Linked DNA regions of Macaca mulatta. The protein of the gene in region 3 interacts with the protein of the main gene of each other region in a biochemical or structural test. Links are inferred from orthologs where the notes say so. Each region holds a gene or a part of one and is shown on either strand. Other genes may lie near its edges. The genes, in order: SLC6A3, GDA, SNTA1, FRMPD4, ABCC4, KCNA4 and SCN4A.

Region 1 (4,095 bases), on a different chromosome or scaffold from region 3:
TGAAATGCAGGCATGGGACCAGGCAGCTCTGAGCCCTGCTCTGTGGTTTTGTGACGTCCTCTGGGAAGATCTGCACTGGCCGTGAGCTCTCACAGGGAGCTCTATCCTCATGCATGGGAACAGCTTTATCTTGTTCGGGTGCACGCCTTTCCTAAAAGGCCTAGCCCCAGCTGCCCCCATGACCCCCGCCTGGCCATTGTGCTCAGAAAGGCTGACATGGGACTTACCCCCGCCGTTTTTGTAGCACAGGTAGGGGAACCGCCAGACGTTGGCCAGGTCCACAGCAAAGCCAATGACGGACAGGAGAAAGTCGATCTTCTTGCCCCAGGTCTCCCGATCCTGGGCCTCCACGGGGCTCTGCCGTGGGTTGGTGAGGGTGGAGCTGGTGAGCTGCACTCCGTTCTGCTCCTTGACAAGGATGAGCTCCACCTCCTTTGGGCCCATGGCGTTGGGTTCCTTAGCCGGGGCCACCACGGAAGACATGAGTCCCACAGAGCATTTGCTCTTACTCATGGGCACACCGGGAATTGAGGAATTCTGTGCTTCTTTCCTCTTGGTCTTCAGCCAATATGAAAAATAAACACACAACAGGAATGCAACAATTCAGCAGCCAGGGCTAGGGACGCGCCTGGTATGGAGGGCAGAGCCCCGAGGCATTCATAGGCATTCCTCTGGGAAGGGATGGGTGCATTCCCAGGGCCTGAGATGGCACAGCTGGGGTGCAGGAGCTGGGAAGTGCCAGCCCTCACCACAGGGCTGGGGCACTGGCCCATGGAGGCATCAAGACAGACACTCTGGTGTGCCCCTCCTTCCCCTGCACCCCTCCTCACTCTTATCAATGTGGAATGCTATGTGAGCTCTAGCTTGGCTTTCTAATAACAGTGCATGGATATTACCTCCACCTTCCCCCACACTGCCAGAGAGCAATTTTGCAATCTTCAAAGAGCATTCAATAATGTCTTTGTGCCTGTTCATCTGTATTCTTTTTTCTTTTTCTTTCTTTTTTTTTAAGATGAGGTCTCGCTCTGTCGCCCAGGATGGAATACAGTTGTGTGCTTACAACTCACTGCAACCTCAAACTCCTGGGTTCAAGTGCTCCTTGCACTCCAGCCTCTTGAGTAGCTGGGACTACAGGTGTGCACCACAGCACTGGCTAAGTTATTTGTGTGTGTGTGTGTGTGTGTGTGTGTTTTGTTTGTTTGTTTTTTGTTTTTTTTTTTTGTAGAGTCAGGGTCTGACTATTGTTGCCAAGGCTGGTTTTGAACTCCTGGTCTCAAGCGATCCTCCTGCCTCAGGCTCCCAAAGTGCTGAGATGACAGGCATGAGCCACCAAGCCTGGCCGTGTATTGTTTATACTCAGTAATAAAGAGCAAAATTTATATAAGCAAAATCAGCCACTGTAAAGGAGAGTTTAGACATAACCATCACAATCGTTTCCTCAAAGAGTGTACAAGCCACATCCACCTAGGGCAGGTGGCACCACCCCACCTGAGAGAGCTGGGCAGAGGATGGACAGGGCTTCATCGCGGGAACCACCTCCTGGGCCAGCAGGGCAACCCAGGAAATCCTGTCCAAAACCCCATAAACCCCCTGCAACGCAGCGCAGGAGAGCAGGAGCGTCTACACCTCCCCAACCAGGGCGACTTCTGGCATTTGGATCCAACAGCAGCATGTTTCAGTCGCGCGCGCGCGCACACAGACACACAGATACACACAGACTCACAAACACACACACACACACACAGGCGCGCACACACAATGACTGAAGCAGGTCACAGGTAGAGGCTCTAACAGGCAACTTTCCCTGCATCCAAGTTTGCACAAAACCTCACCCACGAGCTATCACGAGCTACGCCACGCACCGTTGCTGGGCGGCTTCTGTACCTCCCGGTGACAACCCCAACCCTCACGACCCGTCCTATGGGTAAAACGCCCGCCGAAGGGGTTCCGCGGCGCGAGCAGGAGGCCGCGTTGGGAGAGGGCGCCAGGTGCGGAGCTCGAGAGTCTCCGGGAAGCCGCCGCCGCCCTGGGGCCATCTGACCCCGCTCCTGAACGCGGGGCCTCAGAGGCGAGTTTTGGGTCTACACAGCCAAACGTGGCCCATTAGAAAGCGCCCTTCCTCGCCGCGCCCAGAACAAGAAGCGGCCCTGCCTGGTGAGCCCTCGCCCTGCCTCCCCGCCCTGCCCAGAGCACCAGCCAGCGCGCAGCCGGCGCCCGCCACTACCCCCAAATCAAAGCCCCCGCGAGACGGAGCGGCGGTGTAGAAAACCCACTTCGATAGGATCTGGGGTGCGCCGCACCCCTAGTAGGGTTAAGTTCCACGAGAAGAAACCAGGACCCCCGAGTCACAGCCATAGATACCCATGCGTCCCCTAAGCTGGTGACGGTACCAGGTGCCCACGCGATCCTGAGCCTGGGGCGGGCCAGGGGGCAGCCCTGCACCCTCCTCGCGCCTCGGACGGCCTCAGGGTCCCTTGCGGCGCTATCAGGGGGCGCTCGGCACCTGCGACTGTTGGCGACTTTGGAGACGGCGCGGTCTGCGGGACGCGGGGGCCCCAGAGTGTGCCCGGCCCCCGTGCCCTGCCCCTGCGCCCCACTTCGGGGTCTGTGGAGGGAGCGGCGCGCCCCGATGCCGGGAGCGACCCTGGCCTCACCTGGCCGCCCGGGCCTGGGCTTTGCACGCGAGTCCTGGTGCCGAGCGCGGTTCACGAAGCCTCCCCTCCTGCTCCGCCGCGCTGGGCGGTCTCGGCCTCGGCCTCGGGCTCTTATCCAGTCGCCAGGGTCCGCCCCGCTCCGCCCTCCCGCCGTCGGGGTCGCCCGGGCGTCCTGGCTCCGCCTCCTCACCTCCCCGGGCCGCGCCCCCGCCCCCGCCCCCTGGACGCAGATAGCTTGGAGCAAGCGGCGGCCACCGCTCCGCTGTCCTGCGCGTCCCGGAGCCTCGGACACGGGATGCGGGGACCTGTGGGTCCTAGGCGTCGCGGATCTAGACGGGCGCCTTCCGCGCGAGAACTGTCTGGGCCGCCCTGCGCCCTCGCTCGCACCCCTCGGGGCTGCCCTGGGCACCCGATATCTTCGGACGCCCAGGGCTGGAGGCTCCTAGCTGGACGGGGAGGGAGCCGAGCGGCGGCGCGAGGGGAACTGCTGGGACCCCGTTGGACCGACCCTTCCCTCCCTCCCCGTCCGGGGCCCCTGCGGTGGCCCCGCGCTCCAGGGACCACGTCCCTCCCAACCCGCCTCTCCACGCCCTGACCAGCGGGCTCGGGACCCCGCTGAGGACTCCCCACGCTTCCCGGCGTGCGGGCTGCGGAGACGCGGGTCCTTCCGTGGCTTTGGGGTCTCCACGACCTCGAGGCGACCGGCCGAGCCTAGTCCTCCCCTTGCCGGCATCTAGTGCGCCTACATCGGAACCGAGGGGCTCGCCTCGCGGTCGCATGAGAAAACCATTTCCCAGGACTGGCCTGAAAGCACTGGCGATTGGTATCTGGCTCCAGGGCCGAATGGACTCCGAGGCTTTCCCTCCGAGATGTCCGGGCGGGATTTCTTCCATTCAGCTCGCAGAGGAATGAAGCCCCCGGGCCGCCAAGGCCCAGGATGTCCAGTTCCTTAGAAGGCACGGAGGTGAGTGGCCGCATCCAGCTCTGCGTGTCGCCCCTAGGGTCACCCAAACCCCGGCGTTCCTCCCCGTGTACCCTCCGTGCTCCCGTGAGCACCCTGCCCTGGGCGTCCAGGCGAGCCCTGGGGCTCTCCAGCCATTCCAGCCTGCAGCCCGCGCTCAGCCGTGAGGGAGGCAGGGCCCCTTGGTGCCTGACCCCGCAGTACCCGCCGGCAGCGCAGTGCCCCGCACTCCCGGCACCCCTCACCCCGGGGCTGGCACTCAGGCAGAAGGCACTCAGGGTTGTGCCTCCATGCTGAGTTGGAATCAAGTGGGAACCTGGTGATCCCCTGGGGCTGCTATGACAAACACTCCACAGCCTGGGGGCTCACACAGAAGCCTTTAGTTCTAACAGTTCTGGTGTCCCCAGGCCAAGGCCAAGGCCAAGTCCTGGCCGACAGGGCCGCTTCTGGGTTGCAGACAGTTCTCTCCCTGTATCTCCC
Region 2 (3,500 bases), on a different chromosome or scaffold from region 3:
TTTAAGCACTTTTCTACAATCTTAAAGATGAAATCAAAATGGAAAGCAGGGGCTATTTAGAAGCACTACACAAACACTGACAGTAAGCCCCTTCCTCAGTGTCGGGCCTAAACCAGGAAGTATGTGGCTTATGTGGGGAGAAGCTTTTAATGAATGAGAAATTGCAGCTTCAGATTGGACTGTGTTAAAGTAAACTAAATGTGGCCTGAGCACGCTTCTCAACTACTTAGTATATCAACTCACTGAAAGCCTAATTAGTAATATGCTTTTGTAACAAATAGCTGAGTCTCAGCCAGTCACAGCAGCTGAGCTCTAGCCAGTCACAGGTGCCAAGTGATCAGAACAAGTTTGAATAAGGCAAACCCAGAGCTGTAACAATCAAGCTGGTGCTGTACCTCACTTCCATTTTCTGTCTTAAATGCTGCCTGCCCACATTGCTGGGCAGAGTTCTCTGAACCTTTCCTGGTTCTGAGAGCTGCCTGATTCTGGAATCGTTCTTTGCTGAATTTACTCTGTTAAATTTAATTTGTGTGAAGTTTTTCTTTCAACAACTAGAATGAACTGAAAACACTAGAAAGTTCAGGAACTGCCCTAATTACAGTAAAGGGACCGGACAGGGAGACCCCTGAGAAAGGGAAGAAGGAAGGGAGGAAGGAAACCCAAAGCTACTCCTGTTTATTCCCACTGAACTCAGCCCATTGAGTAGGCTATGTGGCTAGTTAACACATCTCAACACCCTTAAACAGATGTCAGTCATACCCTCAGTGCCTCCAACTTAAAAGTTTGTGGGCCCACATTCATTCATTCTCAGACACATAAGAAACATAGGAGATGTGCTCTCCAATTTTTTTTTTTTTTTTTTTTTTTTTTTTTTTGGAGACAGAGTCTTGCTCTGTCACCCAGGCTGGAGTGCAGTGGCCTGATCTTGGCTCATTGCAACCTCCTCCTCCTGAGTTCAAGCGATTCTCATGCCTCAGCCTCCTGAGTAGCTGAGCTTACAGGTGCATGCCACCATGCCCAGCTAATTTTTGAATTTTTAGTAGAGACGGGGTTTCACCATGTTGGCCAGGCTGGTCTTGAACTCCTGACCTCAGGTGATCCGCCCACCTTGGTGTCCCAAAGTGCCAGGATTACAGGCCTGACATCAAATACTTAAACCACCACCACACTTGGCCTGACATCAAATACTTGAACAAATCTCTGATGTCAGAAATAATTTATATGGAGTATTGCCCGAAAAATATATAGTCCTTGATACTCTATCTCTCTAAACATGAAAGAATGATCTATCTGGACTTTTTGGTAGTATAGCATCTTTACGATATATATTTTGACAGCATAGTGTCTATCCATACTAAGGAATACTGAGATTAATTTTCTTGAGTTTCAGTATGAAGCATAGATATGCTTTACCTTAACAAATGTGTTTTTTAATCATAAAAGCAGAGTAAATTTCGTAACTGATTTCCCTCTTTGGGTCAGGTTCTAGAAATGTAAAGCCAAATTCATGACAAACTAACAAATGCATGGACCCCCACAGTAGACAATGATTACTTGGTTTTATTTTACTTTTCCCTCCCCCTTGTTTTCTTCTCCTTTATTACATGACTCATTTTCTTTTGTTGTATATTACGTAATTTTCAGCTATCTCACATTCTTTTAGAACAATGTGAGGTATAAATAAATTTTGAGAATAAAGATTTGGTGTGGTTAACACCATTCATTAACACAATGCGCCAGCTACTTTATACACAGCTTTAGTCCTTCTCAGCTTTTCTAGTGTCATGTGGTGCATGCTAAATGTGTAAGATCCACAATTGCACTGAATTTATAATTATGTGAGGCAAGTATATAAATGCTAGCACTTGCTTGGCCAGGCGCGGCAGCTCAAGCCTGTAATCCCAACAATTTGGGAGGCCGAGGCCGGTGGATCTTGAGGTCAAGAGTTCAAGACCAGCCTGACCTATATGGTGAAACCCTGTCTCTACTAAAAATACAAAAATTAGCCGGGCATGGTGGCAGGTGCCTGTAATCTCAGCTACTTGGGAGACTGAGGCAGGAGATTGCTTGAACCTGGGCGGCAGAGGTTGCAGTGAGCCGAGATCATACCACTGCATTCCAGCCTGGGTGACAGAGTGAGACTCTGTCTTAACAAAAAAAAAAAGTTAGCACTTGCTTTTACTCTTTAAGGCTGGAATGATGCAAGACCAAAAAAACTGGCAAGATGGTTAGGTCAGTAGATGTGGAAGGCTTATAATACTGCCACCACCACATGTAGTGAACACCTTAGGAGGAATCAATGGGTCCGACAAAAATCCATGAGTGTTCAGACCAAGTGCGCTGAACACCCAAGACATAACGGTCAGATAAGGCGGCATTTCCGCTTTCGCTCCTTTACTGCAGAAACTGTTCCTGATTCCTGAGTGGATTCTGGTTCTGGGCATAGGATTGGAGTACAAAGAAAGGAACTGATTTTCCTGAAAGAGGAGAAGGAAGGACACTTTCAGAGCCTTCAACATATGGCTGGCACACACTACTGCCACTGTTCAATGACTGTACTAGCCCCAGAGTTCCCTCTAGTGGTGTCAGTGCTCAAGTCACATTACCAAGTGCCTCCTTGCAAAGCTCCCAGAGTAACACAATATCCCTTCTAACAGTAATTTAAATTTTTAATTTTAAATTTCCTTGGCTATTTTTAAAGCAAACAAATAGAGCTCTTACCATGTGCCAGACACTATTCTAAGAATTTTACAAATATTAACTTGCTTAATTATCACGAGAATCCTGTGAAATAGGTACTATCATGATCTCTATTTTTTACAGATGGGAAAAGTGAGTCACATAACTCTGCAAAGGTCACATAACAAATCCATATGGTCCTCAGAACAGCATTATGGATTGGCAGGAGTAGGGAACCACACATATTCAGTAAACCCAAATTTGGTAAAGTAAAACACAGGAAGTAAAAGAGTAACGTAAACCCACCAGATTGGGGTTTTGGAAACTTGGATTCAAATTCTCTCTTTTCCACTGACTAGCTATGTAGGTAAAGTGGTCACAAACTCACTGGACTGTTAAAAAAAAAACTTAAAAATTCTCTGTGGCCCATCTTAGGCTTAACTGCCTATGCTTTATAATTTATATCTGTCCTAGGAAACTGATACTCCTATAGATGACCAAACAGAATATCATACTCACACACAAGATACTTACGACAACTCTGGTATATACTTCTTCCGCAAAGTCAATGTTCTGGAATCTGTGTTCTGCAGGAAATGTGTACTTGGTCAGCCACTCCAAGAGTGACAGGTCTACGTTACTTCCAGAAAAGGAATACTGAGAGGCATGGATGTGTGTATCAACCAGCCCAGGCATGAAGAACTCACTGGAAATTAAGATGAGAAGAAAAGTGTTTAATAATATCTATCTTCATTTTCCGTATTTTTTAAATCACATTTTTTCCTAAGCATGATTTCACTGTTCACCCCACGCAGGTTTAT
Region 3 (2,472 bases):
AGCCAATTTTTGTATTATTAGTAGAGATGGGGTTTTGCCATGTTGGCCAGGCTGGTCTCAAACTTCTGACCTCAGGTGATCCACCCACCTTAACCTCCAAACCCCATTTTCTGTCCCCTCCTGAAGTGCCCTAAAGAAGGAAGCTTGAATGCCCCTGGGGATAAGAGGCTCATTACCAGAGGGACACTCCCAGATCCTCCCAGCACACCTGTAGACACCTCCTGCACACCCTCGGCGGCCCGGTGACAGCCATCCACCAGCTGGCGGGTCCAGGCAGCCAGCTCCTGCGGTGACTCCACGCTGAACAGGTGAGTGTCCACACCGTGACGCGTGCCCGTGCGCAGGGCAAAAGAGAGCTCTGCATCGTAGGGCACTGAGCCCTTGGAGGGGCCTGAGTGCACCAGTCTGGGGGTGAGGGGCAGAGGGCTGAGCATGAGGCCTCGGGCAGGGGGCAAATAGTTCTGGGCAAAGGGGCCAATGACCTGGGAAAAACCCTGTAAATCCTTTACCACCTAACAGGACAGGACTTGCCAGGGGGCACTGATTGACTCAGCAGGAGACATCTCCTGCCACCCTCCCTGTCGCTCCCTTGGCTCCGGCTACACTGGTGTCCTCACACACACCTAGCACACGCCTGCCTCAGCACCTCTGCGTATGCTGTTCCCTCTGCCTATACACGCTTCCCTGATTATCTCCATGGCTCACTCCCTCACTTCCTTCAGATGTTAGTTTAAATGTCACCTCCTCTGAGAAGCTTTCCCTGGCCTGCCAGTCCAAAATAGCACCCTTGTCACTCACTAGCCTTACTTTTTCATCATGGTACCAGAAATTATACTTTTTATTATTTGTTTTTGTTGGTTTTTCACTGTCTTTTTCACTAGGATGTCAGCTAGGTTAGAAATGTTGATCTTGCGTTCACCACTGTATTCCCATTAAGTAAAACTATGCCTGACCACAGTAGAGGCTCAATAAACATTTGTTGCCTGACTTGAATCACTTGATTAGGTAGACAATCCAGGACCTAATTATCCCTAGTAGCCAGCAGGCTCCTGATACATGGGCCAGAGCCAGCCTGAGGTAAGGAGACATGGGTGACAAGGACTTCAGACCCCTGCAGCTTGACTGTCACTTGCTGTGTGGCCTTGGTAAGCCAACTGCCCCTCTCTGGGGCAGACCTAAGAGTTCTGCCCCATATCCCTCTTTGTTCCTCCCTTCACCCACTCTTTCTCCTATAGCTCACTTCCCCCCCAGACTTCTGCTGACGCCAGCCTTCCACTTTCCAGCCCTGAGCTGCAGACCCCTGAGTCCCCAAGCTTCCTATCCAAGCTCCCTCTCCATCCCACACACACTCTGGACTTGACTCAGCATCTTGCTCCAGCCTCCTCCCTTTCCACCCCCACCCCCAGTCCCACGCTCACCCAGACACCAGCTCCAAACCTCCTGTTCATTCCAGACCCCTCCTTCACCCGCCCCATCTGGCAAGCACGGAGCCCTGTTAATTTTACACCCATGTGGTTTCCAATGCCAATGCTGCCTTTCTTCTCCATCTGCTCCTGCCGCCCACTTCCACCTCCCCCAGCCACCATCATCTCTCCTGCACGACTGCAGCGCTTCCCCACTTCCATCCTGCACTCTCCGCTGCATTTTCCACGTGGCAGCCACAGGGATTCTCTTAAAGCAACCAGAGCACCTCGCTCCCCAGCTTAAACCCTTCAACACTGCCAAACTCTTAAGATAAAGCTAACATTCCTTAATCAGACAAAAGAAGCTCTGCAAGATCAGGCCCTGCCAACTCCCTTCTCTCCATTTCCTGCATGAATTCTGGTTGTCACAAACTCATAGCCCCATGAACACGCTATAGCCCTTCATGCCTCTGTACCTTTGACCATGATGTTCTCTCTGCATGGGATGCTCTTTCACCCTTTCTTAAACAGAAAACTTCTACTCATCCATCAAAGTCCAGCTCAGATGTCACCTCCTCCCTGAAGCGTTCCTCAACTACCCCTACAGAGTTAAGTGGCTCCTACAAACTCTGCACTGTAATGGCTGTTCCTGGGTCTGTCTCCCCAATCAGACAAGGTTCTCTCTGGAGGCAGCGACTGTTGGGGTCAGCTCTGTGCCCTCTGACCCATGCAGCATAAGGCATAAGTGTCAATGAATGAGTGGCTAGCGGGGACCTTATGTCCTTTTGTTCCAAGCACCCATTTTACAGATAAGGAAACTGAGGCCCAGACAGGGCAGAGACTTGCTTCAGGTCACCTGGGGAATAGCTGAGGGTGGACAGGGCTGGAGTTTCCAGCTTCTGGGGCCCTGCTGGAGCATCTCCCGGCAAGTTCTGGGGGAGACATACTGCCCCTGCCCATGGGTACCTGGTGGCGATGAGTGGGGCAGTACGGACTGGCCGGCTCAGGGCCTCGCGGGTCTCAGGGAGAGAAGAGTAGAGGAGCAGTTCCTTTTCAGTCAGCAGGGCCA
Region 4 (4,077 bases), on a different chromosome or scaffold from region 3:
GCCTCTAAACCAAGAGAATTTTAAGCACTCAAGTAACCATGCTGATCAAAGCTAAATCCTTTAGGAAGATTATCCATTCTGAAATCAGGAAAATCCTGCAGTATAAGCACTTTTATACTTCACCTTTGAGAAAAGAACTTGATTTCTGTAACAGTGTTTAAAACGCATACAAGACTTTCTTCCTCCCAAGGCAGAAACAAGCAACTGCAAACATGTGTTTTTACGTGCTGATGACCCTCTAAAGGTATTTCTATCTCAGCTTGGGGACCATCCTTGAGCTCACACTAAGGAAAAAGAAGAATTATATGGATGGAAGATTTCTTAATCGGCACATCAGCTCAGAACATTTGCACCTTCTGTCTTTAGAATAAACACTCTACTGGATCACATTAAGGATAGAAAGTGAAACTCACATTCATTTACTAAATTTTAAACTCTTTTAAATAAGATACCACTCTCCCCACAACCTTGCTTGAGTTTTGCAAAAACTCAGATTTGTGAATATCATGTAGGCATCCTAGAATTTAGTAAAAAGAATATGAAACATCTTTTCACTGACACATGACACTGTGCTCTCCGAAGTTCCTAAGTTTAAGGACTAAACCAAGGCTCTAGATGTTTTGTTAAACTGTTTTTAGCATCTGAGGCCACAAAAAAGTATCCTGGTTACTTTGAACTATACTATTGGTTGAACTTCCCTTTCCCTTTAGCAGTAGCTCTGTCCATCACACAGAGGGTTCCACTCAGTCTCTAAACTTGCCCACAGCTGCTTCCCAACCATGGTTCATTATTTGACAGCTGTTTAGAAACTAGCCCTAGGCAGAAGCATGCAGGAAGTTAATAGAATAGTGGTGTGAAGCAATGGCCCTCTATGAGATCAGCTTGAAAGCAAATAATTTGCCACACCACAATCATCCACTGCTTAACACATCAGTCTTCCAATCTGTAGGACAACACCTCTTCCTGAGCTGCTCTAAGACCTATCAACGGTGTATCTCCAGTCTACTTAGAGTAAGTTGCACTGGGCCTTTCTCCCTGGGGAAATCTGCTAGTGGCATGAAGACCGGCCCATATTAGTAGAAAGGGAAGGTGGAGATGGGCAGGCAGAACAAAGACTGTAGATGTCAGAGAGAATGGCAACATCCAAACATAACCTTTCTGAAGTGGTCTAAATGTAATTTAACAAAGCAAAGTCAACATACGTTTCTACCTCGGACGATTGGAAGCTGCTCATCCCTGCCTGATGCAATCAACACATCTCACTCTGACACTCAGGACTGAAGGAAAACCTGGGATTGTTCTGTCCATATTGCAAGTAAGTTTTTAAGCTACATCCTGGAAAAACCCAACTGTCTACCTCCTACGTCCTGGTGGTAGCTGCTATAAAGAGCTCCAGGGGCAGAGAAGGTTGGGCATGGTTTTCTAAGACTGCTCCTATCGGGCTCTTCCCAGTTAATGTCACATAGCAAGAAGCACAGACCTTACTCTGTGGCTCAAATGAACACTTTGGAAGCATAAGCAGGCAGAAGACCTCGAGGAGTGCTCTGGCCAGGCAACACCTAGGCGGCCCAAGCGTGGAAATGTTCCTCCTTTATCAGTACTACGCAAAAATATCCGAATCGATGATTTAGTTTTAGCTACTGTTTTAACAACATGGCCACTTAGAAGAAAATTTCTAAATCTTTCGAGGCTTAAGAATATAGTCACACACACACACAAAGAAAAAGGCTGAAAGTCTTTCTCTTCTATCTCCATGACCTCATCATTTAGGTTACCATTGGGAGCACCTGGTCAACCTAGGCGCTAACTCTGTGGAGGTGTGGAGGTGTAATTTAGGAGTGGGGGGAAGGCGGCACTTTTGGTCTCTGCAGCTTGGAAGGCAGGCACCTAAGCTCCAAGCACTTCTGGGTTTCCCTAGCAGTAGCAATTACAACCACCTTCTCTTAGCCCTGAATGATACATGGGACCCCAAGCACCAGTGGGGCTTTTCCTTAGGGAAAACAAATGGTTGTGAATATCGGTGTGTTGGTGAGGGCATGTATGTACCTCTCTGTGTGTGGTCTACACCCGTGGCTACACAAGCCTCAGCAGCCAGTGAGAAATAAGTTGAATGTGTCAGCCCCCGGCCACTTCGTTTCAGTCTTAAGCCCCGTCGCGCTTTCCGGCTTTTGCCTCTACCCAGCCTCCCGAAAAATAAGGCACCAAGTTGCCCGCAGCAGCGGCCCTAGGTGCAAACGGAACCCGCGCAGCCCCTACCTCGAAAGCTTTGCAATCTTCACAAAGCTGAAGACATCCATGCAGGCAGCTGGGGACCCCCGAGCGCGACAACTCCGTCGCCCCTTCTCACGCCAGCAACAACAGCAGCCTCCGCAGCCCCATGGCCAAGACCTCAGTGCGCCCAGGGCTCCAGTCGCGGCGACAGCGGGTGGCGGCGGGGGCCGGAGAGAACCTGCACCTGGAGGCGGCGGCTGCTACCACCCTCCGGCCGCGAGCTGCGTGTGCATCCCCGAGCAGGACCATTGATGAGCACCCGCGGCAGGAAAACTCAATGGAGAGGGAGCCAGGCAGGGCGCAAGAGGCGGGGGCTGGGAGCGCGGCCCGGGTCTCGCGCCCCGCCCCGTGCGCTCTGGCCCCGGGTACTGCCGGGCGTCTAGAGAAAGCGAGGCCCGGGCGAGAGGCGCTGCTCTGGCTTCCCGGCCCTCGGACCCCAGTGCCCCGCGCACCAAGGAGCGCAGACGGAGCCGGGAAACGGGAGACAGCAGGCGAGCTGGGCACACGCGCACGCACCCCTCGCAGCACTGCAGCTGCCTCCCTGCCTCCTTCTCCAAGCCGAGTCCCTGCTCCTCTCCCCACCCCCACCAGCCCAGGGGGAGGGGGCACTCTCCTGTCACCCACTGCGTGTGCCTCCAGATCTGAAGGATCTGGTCTAACAGTCTATGGCACACTGGAGAACTGTGAACGCTAACCCTCCCTCCCCAAGCCGAAGGAGAACCGTGCAACCGCAGGTTGCCCAAAGCCTCGGTTTGCTCCGTAAACAAAACTAGCGATCGGAAGGAGCAGGGATGATAGAGGCTGGGTCGTTTGTCAAGGGGAAGGGAAGGGAGATGCCCGGCGCAGCGGGCTCGATTGGGGGAGCGCAGAGTTCCCACTGCTTCTCCCGAACCGCTGGGGCGAGACGTGACCACTGGGCTGGCTGGGAAGGTGTGTCTTTGGACAGCAGCACCGCGGGAGTGTCGGCCAAATAAGAACCGGAGGCATTTGCGGGTAGGGGGATGAACACAGCTGCTCCCTCCTCCAGGAGCATAGAGCAGAAGGTCCCAGGAGCCTGTGATGCAGAGGCTAATTCTAACCGGGCTCGGAATCTAAGGGAAGAGAAGGATTAGAATGGGGTCTGGCACGCAGAGCGAGCTGCTTTTGCAAACTGAGCGGTGGGAGAAGGGAACAAGGAAGAAAAAAAAAAAACAAAACAAAACCTAACAAAACCTTGCCTGAGAAGCAAAAACACAGAAACATAAACACTCACCTTAGGCAGAGTAAACTCCAAGTTGCAGCCATCTAGAACTCCTCCTAGCCTTCTCTTTTACATGATTACCTTGGATAATCAGCCCTGTTCATTAACTCAGTTCTACCTCCTGGGAAGCTCAGGCTTCATTGGGCCCCTTTTTCTTCTTCCTCTTGGAGTCTCAAGGCCTCTTGTCCACAATCCTTTAAAATTTCCCCCCAGACTGTGAAGGTCAGCTGGCCGCACTAAGTGTGTGCTCTCCCACCAGCAGCGTTCACCTGGCGGCAGGGCCACTGCAAAGAACAGAGAGCACCCCCAGAAATGTTGGAAGATCCAGCCAGTGTTCCAGTCTAGCTCTCCGAGGGGATTAAGTAAGAAATGGGTTTAAAGTTCCCACACTTCTGCTCCTCTCCTGGTCTGTTGTTATATTTAAAGTCTTCAGTATTCAAGCCTAGTACTAACGCGTTTTTTTTTAAGCATTTATTTCAAAAACTGAACATAAAATAAATAGCAATCTGCAAAATCTAACTGACTTAAAACTCAGGCATAAAATTATATTTTTTTGAATACATACT
Region 5 (3,500 bases), on a different chromosome or scaffold from region 3:
CATCTCAAAAAAAAAAAAAAAATGTTTTTCTGGCTTTGGATTAAATATTTGATTAGTTGTTGCATTCCAGCACCTGGTACTTCTTATGATTTTCTGGGTAGTTCCTGGCCACCTCTCACCTTTGCACCTTTTTGTTGTTGTCATTGCCCAGGATGGTCTCAAACTCTTGGGTTCAAACAATTCATCCACCTCAGCTCCCAACATGCTGGGATTGCAGGCGTGAGCCACTTTGTGTGACTGACATCACTGCTTTTTTAAAAACCTGTACTCTCTTCTAGGAAGGAGATTTCCAAGATTCTGAGAAGTTCCTACCTCAGAGGGATGAATTTGGCCTCATTTTTCAGTGCAAGCAAAATCATCGTGTTTGTGACTTTCACCACCTACGTGCTCCTCGGCAACGTGATCACAGCCAGCCGCGTATTCGTGGCCGTGACACTGTATGGGGCTGTGCGGCTGACGGTCACCCTCTTCTTCCCCGCAGCCATTGAGAAGGTGTCAGAGGCAATCATCAGCATCCGAAGAATCCAGGTTGGTGTCAGATGCCATTTTAAAGTTGTAGGTGCATTCGAGGTGAAATGATATCTCCTTTTATTTAGCATCACTATGTTCCAGTGTAATGACATTTAACTCTTTCATAACCAAAACGTGCTGCCATTCCACAATGTTGTGTGTACTTCCTTATCTTAGATAGAGCGCACTAAAGACAATGCAAGCATTGTGATCATTTATTGGCAGCAACCTAAACAGCAGTGGCACAGGGCTTTTGATGTGCAGGTGGTAACGGCAGGTGTGATTAAAATGTTTAAGCTGTCTAAAAGGAGGAAAAGCAAATAGATTTCATCTGTTACGTTAACGCAAGTGAGAAAGTAGCGAGTATGGGTTGAGTATGGTTCTTCTGTGGGCTGGAAGGAAAGAGCTTGCTGAGGTCCCTGCTTCTTGGTCAGGAAGAATGGCCTCAACTTCACTTAGCTATCCCTGTTTGAAAATAAGTTCTTTCCTCTGTAGATGTTTTCCTTGTTAATTTTTGTGCATGCCTTTAGGATCTCTGCCGTTTCTTTCCTATCCTCTTTTCACTTTTTTCTTACTGTTGATGAACCTAACTCTACCAGACTTCTTTCTTTCCAATCGGTTGATTTCTGCTTACTGCCTTGCTCCGTTTGTACTATTGTAACAAAATACCTGAGACTTGCTAATTTATACATGTTAGACATTTATTTCTCACGGTTCCGGAGGCTGGGAAGTCCAAGATTAAGGCTCTGGCATTGGTGTCTGGTCTGGTGAGGACCATTCTCTGCTTCCCAGATGGACCTCTGTGTCCTCACATTGTGGAAGAAACAGAAGGACAAACTGGTTTAGTTCCCTCCAGCCTTCTGTAAGGACACTAATCCCCATCAGGAGGGCTCTGCCGTGGCGACCTAATCACCTCTTAGAGGCCCCACCTCTTAACACTGACCCTGGGGTGAAGTTCCAGCCCATGAATTTAGAGTAGGCATGCCCATTCAAATCATAGCATCCACTTTACACACCATCACCTTTTCCTCAGTAGCTGTCACTAAATTGCCAGGGGCAAATAATTTATATCACCAAGGTAAGGTCCTGTCACATAATGTATGCACAAGTATTTGTGTGTTTATGAATAAGTTGAAAATTAAAATAAATTGGCTTTGTGAGAGGGCTTGGCAAGACCTTGACTGTCTAAGCTTTTCAAAAATCTGCTTTGTTTTATTCCTGGTTCTTAATAGAGATGGATGCCCAGGGCCAGACTCGAGTGAACTTAGCTGACACTGGCTGTGATTATTTTTTATTTTTATTTTTTTGGTTGGGGAGAGAGTGGGGTGGGTATTATCATAAAAGCTAAGATTCTTTTTTATGATGAAGTTTGTTTTTTAAAGAAGAGATCTTGCTGTGTTACCTAGGCTGGAGCATAGTGGCTATTCATAGGCAGACTCCCACTACTGATTAGCAAGTTTGTATTTCGTAAAAAATATTACCTCTAAAACAGACCATACAAGGTCAATTCTTATCCTCATTCTTTCTGACAACAGCTTCAGGTAACACTGTGAAGGGATGGTCCATGCAGGTCAGTAACACTTTTTTCTTACAGCTTTTGCATCTTGAAAGAAATAACTTAGAAATATACTTTGACCAGAGTGTCTTTCTGAGTGTGCAGGACACCTTTTACAGATGGAAGGGCCACATGTGTATTGTGCTGCTGTAATTCTCTGACTGCTGTTGCTGCCCCTCACTGTGATTGCAGGCGCTGGTGTGTGTACTGTAAACCAGGGCTCTTGGAAGCCTTTACATGTTATTTCATGTTATCCTCACAATTGAAGGAGATAAGCATTAGTGTCCCCACTTTACAGAGAATGAAACTGGCTCCTTTAATAGGTTAAGGAGTTTGCCTGTCTTAGAGATGGGAATCTGTTCAGAACCATGATTTCTTAACCATTATTACGTTGCCTGTTGTATTAGTCTGTTTTTATATTGCTATAAAGAACTTCCTGAGACTGGGCAATTTGTAAAGGAAAGAGTTTTAATTGACTCACAGTTCAGCATAGGTGGTGAGACCTCAGGAAACTTACAGTCATGGTGGAAGGGGAAGTAGGCACTTTCTTCACAGGGCGGCAGGAAGGAGAAGTGCAAGCAGGGGAAATGCCAGAGCTTATAAAACCATCAGATCTCATGGGAACTCACTGTCACTAGAACAGCATGGAGGAACTGCCCCCATGATCCAGTTACCTCCACCTGGTCCCACCCTTGACACGTGAGGATTATGGGGATTACAGTTCAAGCTGAGATTTGGGTGGGGACACAGAGCCAAACTGTATCACCTATGTTGCTGCCTTAGTATCCTCTGGTGTGGGATATTTCCTTCAGTGTTCTTTTACTCATCCAGTCTTACTCCAAAAACCTTGAAAGGTTCTCTGTTTCCTGTGGAGTCCTATTTTTGAACCCTAGGTGTAGAGCTTACCTGGCCACATTGTGTGTTTCCCAGCACATGACTCATGTCTGTTTCTGCTTTGGGGTCTTTGGCTCTTTGTGGCTTGAGTGTCCTCCCTTCTGTCCTTGATTTAAGCAAGTGCTACTAAGCCCTCCGGCCAGGTCTCAGGAGCCTGGTGGTACTTTTGTTCCTGCTGAGCAAGGCCAGTATGGTGCAGCTCAGAGATGATGAACACATAATGGGCACCAAATGCTGGATGGACAGAAGCAGCACCCACAGCAAAAGGCTGGGACCCAATACAGACCCAAGGTGGTCCAGGCTGTACCATAAGCCAGAGGAAGGCTGAGTGAGGAAGCAGACTCGAGTTGAACATTCCCAGAACACCGGGCCCTGTTCAAGGGTGTTGTGAGGGTCCTCAGCTCTGGGGAGCTGGATCTTTTTCAGAGTGGACTGGATCGGAGTCTCCGCCTTGTTATGTGTGTGCCTCTGTGCATCTCAAACCCCACTGGACTTGGTCGACCTGCTCTTGTAAGAGAGGGGCCATGTCTGACATTAAATG
Region 6 (2,487 bases), on a different chromosome or scaffold from region 3:
AGGAAAACCATACAATACAGACTGTTTCCACGATGAAGAAGGGGTCATTGAATATTGTGTGCCCTGAGTTCTCTGGGTGGGGTGCTGAAGTGTCATTCAACAACCCACCGTGCCCACCAGCACTCAGTGCCATGACGAGATCCCGGTCGTCCCTAAACTCAGGCAAGGTTTCCAGGCAAAAGATGACAATGGAGATTAAGATGACCAGGACAGATACAATGGCTATGCCCCTTGCAGGACTGGAGCTCTCTGGATATTCAAAGAGGAGCCAAATCTGCTTTTTAAATTCATTCTCAGGGAGGGCCCTGTCCTCCTCCTCTCTCACAAAGCCCTCGTCCTCCCGAAACTTCAACAGGGCCTCCTCCCCCAATTGATAGAACTTCACCTCCTCAGTGAAGATATCAAAGGGGACATTGACTGGCCTCTTCAGGCGGCCTCCTGATTGGTAATAATATAAGATGGCATCAAAGCTGGGGCGGTTCCTATCAAAAAAATACTCATTGCGCAAAGGGTCAAAGTACTGAGTCCTCTTTTCAGGGTCTCCCAACAAAGTCTCTGGAAACTGGGCCAGAGTTTTCATCTGGGTCTCAAAGCGTAGGCCTGACACATTTATCACCACCCGTTCACAACAGTCACTGTAGCGGACTGAACTGTAGCCACCACCGCCCTCATCCTGAGGCAGCAGGTCCGTGTAGGAACACTCATCCCCGTGGTCATCTTCACTATAGTAAAACCTTCCCTCCTCTTCTTCCTCCTCCTCCTCCTCCTCGTCTTCCTCCTCCTCACTCAGCTCCCTCAGGATCTTCTCCTCAGAACCACTGGGCATCAGGTCAGAGCAATGAGAGAAGCTGCTCTGCCGTTGGTGGGCTTTCTTCTTCTCAAGCCGCTGTCGCCTCCTCCTCCGGCTACCCCGGCTGCTCTGAGGGTCATGGGAGGTGCAGGCCCCACGTGACTGGTGGTGGTGGTGGGAGCCACCAGAACCCCCGCTACCTTCAACAGCAGCTGTGGCCGCTGCAACAGCAGCTGCTGCAGCTGCCCTGGAGTGAGCAAGCCTCTCCCGCTCCCGGGCCCTGGCCTGGGCAGCATAACCATAAGGCATGTGACTGTTGCACCCTGAGCTCTCCGCACTCACCATTGCAACCTCCATGGTGGTGGTTTTCGGAAATGGCTGGTTCCAGTTGTAGAAGAAGAAGAAAGAAAAATAGGGCAGCTTCTTTTCTCACCAAATTAAGGTAAGTTTGGAACCCTTAAGCAGATTGCTTGGAAGACTAAGGATATTTTCAGTCCAACTTTGCATTTTCTGTTTTTAAATCAGCACGCCCCATGCTCCCTCTTCTCAGGGATTCAACATTGCTCTCCAGAGCTTGGCTGGTCGAGATAAATAGCCTAGCACTCTCAAGACTAAGAAGTCTGAAAATGCTGGAGTGTCTCAGACACCTATGTTTTGGGGGTAGATGTTGAGATTTGGAAATATGTCTGGGATGTGGTTAGTGATGATGCTGCAAGATTCAAAGGCAGCAAGTGTCTGACAGCCAGAAGTTGTGCCTAGAAAATGAAATACATTTTTCTGCCATGGAAATTGGCCAATGCTCAGTCCATTAAATTTAAATAAAATGCAAATAAGCCTTTACTGTTAGCACTTGCCTTCTAGTGATGGCTCGAACCATAATAAGATGTGGTTTGAAGTATGTCCAGCCATTTCTACTCAAAGTCTATCAGGACGATTCTGCAGGCTCTCCTTTTAAGTTCATCAAAGGCTTCCTGGACCCAGGTACGATGCCAAACCATAGATAGAGGCAAAGACCCTGGGAGGTAGAGAAGGTGCTAGATGAGGTGTCAGCAGAAGCAAAACCAGCTCTGAGGTCTCCATAGAAATCAAGGAAATGCAGAGCATTCTTCAGCCAAAATCATGCAGAAGCAGCACTTCACCTGAAAAAGGATTGGAAACAAGCATAGGAGAAAAGTAAAAGGGAAACAAATCATAAAGAGCAAAGTGAGCATTTCTCTTCATATACACATCCTTCTCTTTCTTCAAGAAAGTCACATAACACACCAAACACCCATACATTTTCAAGAGTATGGGGCACACTATTCTCACTCACTAAACATCATTCTTTCCTTCTTCTTCAGATATTATTTCAGCTCAGTTTATTTTTATGGTAACTCAATTATTTTTCCTCTCTCCACTCATGGCTCACATGGCTCTTGCTTCTATCTTCCCCTTCACCAATGCCAGGTCTTAATTCTCACTGTCACTCTCTTCATTTCACAAAAATAATGCTGTGACTTTACAGCTGCTTCCATCATTCATCTATTTCAAGGCAATTTTTAAAATTTCCACTCATAAAGTGTTTCTGAATTAAGTGCCCTTCCACTCCTCTCTATCTTGACTCAGGATTGGGGAAGTCGGAAAAAAGAAAAAAACAACAACAACAGTATTCTTATTCTTTATGCAGGCAGCACCACTTGAATGCACTTCAGTCACCT
Region 7 (3,500 bases), on a different chromosome or scaffold from region 3:
TCTGGCTGACATGGGGGGCTCAGGGCCTCCCTCCACAGCCGGATCCAGCATGTGACAACGGCTTGCAGAGGAAAGGCCTCCTGGCCCCCAGCCCTGGTGCTGGTGCTCTCAGCTGCCCCACTCCCCACCTCGCCCAGGCAGTCTCCACCCTGCACAGCCCAGCAAGCTCTATGGACAACGACATTTCTCCAGTGCCATGTCCTGAAGGCCTTGCTCCCTGAAGATGGAGGGGAGGATCTCAGGAGCTGACACCCGCACTCTTGCACGTTCGCTCCAAGCTAGGTCTGCACCAAGGGCTCTGCATGGATCTTGCACCACAGCTCTGGGCATGTACTGCCACCACCCCTAGACGCGTGAGGCACGGGGATGACCAGGCAGCCCCAGGTTCGTGTGCTTTTGGCCCTGGTGTAGCCTGCCCCTTGCAAGGGCTACAGGCCTGGGGGAGACACCCAGACGAGGTGGGGGGTGCCCTCACCCTCAGTGAAGCACTCCTCAGGCTGCTCCCCCTCGGGGTTCTCCTCTGCCTGCTCCTCAGGGTCCTCCTCGGGGGGCTTGTAGTCAGCTGTGCTGCAGACGGAGGAGTTCCCATCATAGAGGGGCTGCGGCGGCTTCTGCAGAGGTCACAGGGTCATGTGACATCTGGGTCCCTGAGAGACCCCCTCATTCTCCCACCAGATGGGGCAGGATGGAAGACAAGAAGGGAAGGGAAGAAGAGAGGGAGGAGCAAACTTATTCATTCATTCATTCATCCAGCCCTGGATGGTCGAGGACCCATGGGGACATAGGTGGCCCTGGTCATGCCCGCATGGCACTTACATAAGGAGTGGGGCGGGGCTGATGCCTGGAAAGGAATGGTGAGGGCATGAGGACGCATGTGCAGGACTCAGATGAGGGAGGAGGCGGGGACCCTGGCCCGAGTGGGGGGTCTGGGAGGCGTGGGGGGCCTGAAGGTAGCTCTGAGGGGGCAGGGGTATGAAAAGGGGTCAGGATGGAGCCAGGCTGCCACAGCCCTCAGAGCATGGGCGTGTGGTGCCCCTAGCGTCTGAGCTTTCCCACCCCCAGGGTCTGTTTGGCTGAGGAATCCAGAAAGGGTGGAAAATGTTCCCCAGCCAAAGCCTCCATCCCATGCCAAGGGAACCTGATCAGTGTTGGGAGCGGGAGTGGGGGAGGCGGGTGCTTCAGCCGGGCCAGGCCTCCTCCCACCTCCTCCTGCTGGGCCAGGCCAGCTTCCCTGCCCCAGCCTCCACCCTGCAGGGGACCCCTTCAAGGCTGAGGGTGGGGCTTCTGAAGAGAAGGAAGAAGAGGGCAACTTGGGGGGCAGCTCTGTATCCAGAGTGGTGACCAGAAAACCGCCATGGTGGTGGCGGGGGGGTCCTTGTTTTCAGTTGACAAAAAGGGAGACTGAGGCACAGAGTGTTAGGTCAGCCAGGGCATCCACTGAGTTGCTTGCCCCGAATGTGCACCCAACTCCCTAAATCCCCCTTGGAGCTGTGCTCGCCCTCCTTGAACAAGTCCCCAGGCCCTGGCCCTGGGGAGCCTGGGACTTTGGTGCTCTCCAGCTCCCCTGCCACCTGAGTGCCTCATACCGAGGTCTGTGCCACAGTTGCCTAGGTATTTATAGCTCATAGGCACTCGGCCCCTGGTAAGCCAGCGTGCCACATATTTGGGGGGAATAAGGAGTCAAAAACTTTCCGGGCAAAGTTCATTAGGCTCAGGCTGATGGTGTAGGGGTGGGCAGGGGTGCCCGTCCTAGCGCCTATACAAGTCCTTTCCCTGCCAGAGCTGGACAGTGGGGGAGGGGGCTCAAGACCCAGGTAGGGTCCCATCCTCAGCCCCAGCTGCTGGGGGTGACCACCACTACGTTCCTTTCCCTTCCTCGCCCTCACAGTGTGGGGGGTGGGGAGGGGCATCTGAGAACAGCAGCATGCCCCCGGCATGGTTGAGGGGTCAGGGTTCCTGCCCGAGGCTTCTGCCCTCCTTGTCCCCAACTCTCGTTGGCCCCGGCTCCTCTCCTGAGTCCCCTGCCTGGATCTGGCACTTTGGCCCACACTGGGAAGTTGGGAGCAGACCCAGGTGGGGTCTAAACAGAAATAGAGGGTAAGTGTGAGGACTGGGCAAGGGGCCTCAAGCCCAGAGGATAACATGTAAGACAGGCCTCTCAGGTCCTGGTCCTGGTCCTGGAGCTGCAGTGCCCAGGTAAGAGCAGCATGTCCAAGGGCACCACCTGCTGGTGAGAGGGACCCAGGTGTTGTTCTGGTCCAGGCATGAACCGAGAGAATCAGGGTTTCCGGACAGACAGGGCTGATCATCAAACCACACCAATAACCATAGTGACAGCCGCCACTCACAGGGCACTGACTGCATGCTTTACATACAGCGTCTCACGTAATGCTCACAACAATGCCATAGGTCACCACCCCCATTTTACAGCTGGAGAAACGGAGGCTCAGAGAGGACTTAGGACTTGCTCCAGGTCACAGGAGAATTTGAAGCTGGGTCTGTCTGAGCCCCGGCCCTGGCTCACCTTGCTATCCTCAGGCTCCGAGAAAGTGTCTGTTTCCTCCTCGGTGGGCATCTCCAGGTCGGACTCCTCAGAGGCGATGGGCACCTGTATGGTCAGGTAGGGGTTGTTGATGAAGTTAAGGTGGTCCAGCTCGATGCTGGATGGTGGGTCATCAGCCAGGCTCATGTGGTTCAGGATGTGACTGTCCTTCTTCAGGTCCTCCTCGGGCGGCTCCTTCTTCTCATCCACAGGGGCAGTCTCCCCGGCCTCTCCAGCCTCCCCGGCCCCGACAGGCTCCCCGAGGCTGAGCATGATGTCCTTGGGGCTCAGGATCTTGCCATGCAGCAGCCCCAGGAGGAAGGCCTTGGCAAAGCTGATGCCCAACTTGATGCGCCCGATGGCAATCTGCAGGTTGTTCATCTCACCGTCCTCATCCGAGGCTGCCAGACTGTCGGCGCTGAAGGAGCTCAGCAGCAGAGCCAGGAACAGGTTCAGGACCTGGGGCATAGAGTCAAGGGGAGCCTCACATCAGTCCCCGGGACCCAGAGGGTGCCACCTTCAGCCAGCACAGGGGTCCTCGGTCTACAGATCCAAACGACCACATGTTGGGCATTTAAAATGCCACCTAAGAGGTGCTCACAACTGCCCGTGGAGGTGATGCTTATTATCATCCCTTCTGCAGTTGGGGAAACTGAGTCTTGGGCTTCTGAGAGGAGTCTGCTGCCCAGGGCAGAGGCAGGGTTTAGGGAGGCCTGCAGGGGCACAGGGACTCTCTCCATGACTGTTCTTTTTTTTTTTTTTTTTTTTTTTGAGATGGAGGAGTCTCCCTCTGTTGCCTCCAGACTCCAGGCTGGAGTGCTGTGGCGTTACCTCGGCTCACTGCAACCTCCGCCTCCCAAGTTCAAGTGCCACCATGCCTGGCTAATCTTTGTATTTTTTGTAGAGATGGGGTTTCAACATGTTACCCAGGCTGGTCTCAAATTCCTGACCTCAGGGG

Evidence for each region.
Region 1: the proteins of SNTA1 (region 3) and SLC6A3 interact in a test that uses a peptide from one of them, tested with the Homo sapiens proteins (2 studies listed by BioGRID and IntAct). The link is inferred for Macaca mulatta from reciprocal best matches to the Homo sapiens genes SNTA1 and SLC6A3.
Region 2: the proteins of SNTA1 (region 3) and GDA interact in a test that uses a peptide from one of them, tested with the Homo sapiens proteins (2 studies listed by BioGRID and IntAct). The link is inferred for Macaca mulatta from reciprocal best matches to the Homo sapiens genes SNTA1 and GDA.
Region 4: the proteins of SNTA1 (region 3) and FRMPD4 interact in a test that uses a peptide from one of them, tested with the Homo sapiens proteins (2 studies listed by IntAct, with this or other methods). The link is inferred for Macaca mulatta from reciprocal best matches to the Homo sapiens genes SNTA1 and FRMPD4.
Region 5: the proteins of SNTA1 (region 3) and ABCC4 form a complex in vitro, tested with the Homo sapiens proteins (2 studies listed by BioGRID and IntAct, with this or other methods). The link is inferred for Macaca mulatta from reciprocal best matches to the Homo sapiens genes SNTA1 and ABCC4.
Region 6: the proteins of SNTA1 (region 3) and KCNA4 interact in a test that uses a peptide from one of them, tested with the Homo sapiens proteins (2 studies listed by BioGRID and IntAct). The link is inferred for Macaca mulatta from reciprocal best matches to the Homo sapiens genes SNTA1 and KCNA4.
Region 7: the proteins of SNTA1 (region 3) and SCN4A interact in a test that uses a peptide from one of them, tested with the Homo sapiens proteins (2 studies listed by BioGRID and IntAct). The link is inferred for Macaca mulatta from reciprocal best matches to the Homo sapiens genes SNTA1 and SCN4A.

The regions. Positions count from the first base shown.
Region 1 is NC_133411.1:2,557,005-2,561,099, forward strand, and holds the start of SLC6A3 (sodium-dependent dopamine transporter), read right to left. Parts: upstream 2,801-4,095; 5' UTR 2,655-2,800; intron 559-2,654; 5' UTR 514-558; coding exon 228-513; intron 1-227. UniProt on the Homo sapiens protein: Mediates sodium- and chloride-dependent transport of dopamine. Also mediates sodium- and chloride-dependent transport of norepinephrine (also known as noradrenaline). Regulator of light-dependent retinal hyaloid vessel regression, downstream of OPN5 signaling.
Region 2 is NC_133420.1:103,212,770-103,216,269, reverse strand, and holds part of GDA (guanine deaminase), read right to left. Parts: intron 3,386-3,500; coding exon 3,214-3,385; intron 1-3,213. UniProt on the Homo sapiens protein: Catalyzes the hydrolytic deamination of guanine, producing xanthine and ammonia.
Region 3 is NC_133415.1:86,166,954-86,169,425, forward strand, and holds part of SNTA1 (alpha-1-syntrophin), read right to left. Parts: coding exon 2,370-2,472; intron 427-2,369; coding exon of another isoform or gene 406-426; coding exon 209-405; coding exon of another isoform or gene 177-208; intron 1-176. UniProt on the Homo sapiens protein: Adapter protein that binds to and probably organizes the subcellular localization of a variety of membrane proteins. May link various receptors to the actin cytoskeleton and the extracellular matrix via the dystrophin glycoprotein complex.
Region 4 is NC_133426.1:11,758,791-11,762,867, reverse strand, and holds the start of FRMPD4 (FERM and PDZ domain-containing protein 4), read right to left. Parts: upstream 2,801-4,077; 5' UTR 2,298-2,800; coding exon 2,257-2,297; intron 1-2,256. UniProt on the Homo sapiens protein: Positive regulator of dendritic spine morphogenesis and density. Required for the maintenance of excitatory synaptic transmission. Binds phosphatidylinositol 4,5-bisphosphate.
Region 5 is NC_133422.1:89,940,992-89,944,491, reverse strand, and holds part of ABCC4 (ATP-binding cassette sub-family C member 4), read left to right. Parts: intron 1-278; coding exon 279-528; intron 529-3,500. UniProt on the Homo sapiens protein: ATP-dependent transporter of the ATP-binding cassette (ABC) family that actively extrudes physiological compounds and xenobiotics from cells.
Region 6 is NC_133419.1:35,236,975-35,239,461, reverse strand, and holds part of KCNA4 (potassium voltage-gated channel subfamily A member 4), read right to left. Parts: intron 1,930-2,487; 5' UTR 1,148-1,929; coding exon 1-1,147. UniProt on the Homo sapiens protein: Voltage-gated potassium channel that mediates transmembrane potassium transport in excitable membranes. Forms tetrameric potassium-selective channels through which potassium ions pass in accordance with their electrochemical gradient.
Region 7 is NC_133421.1:73,858,637-73,862,136, forward strand, and holds part of SCN4A (sodium channel protein type 4 subunit alpha), read right to left. Parts: intron 3,002-3,500; coding exon 2,525-3,001; intron 612-2,524; coding exon 476-611; intron 1-475. UniProt on the Homo sapiens protein: Pore-forming subunit of Nav1.4, a voltage-gated sodium (Nav) channel that directly mediates the depolarizing phase of action potentials in excitable membranes.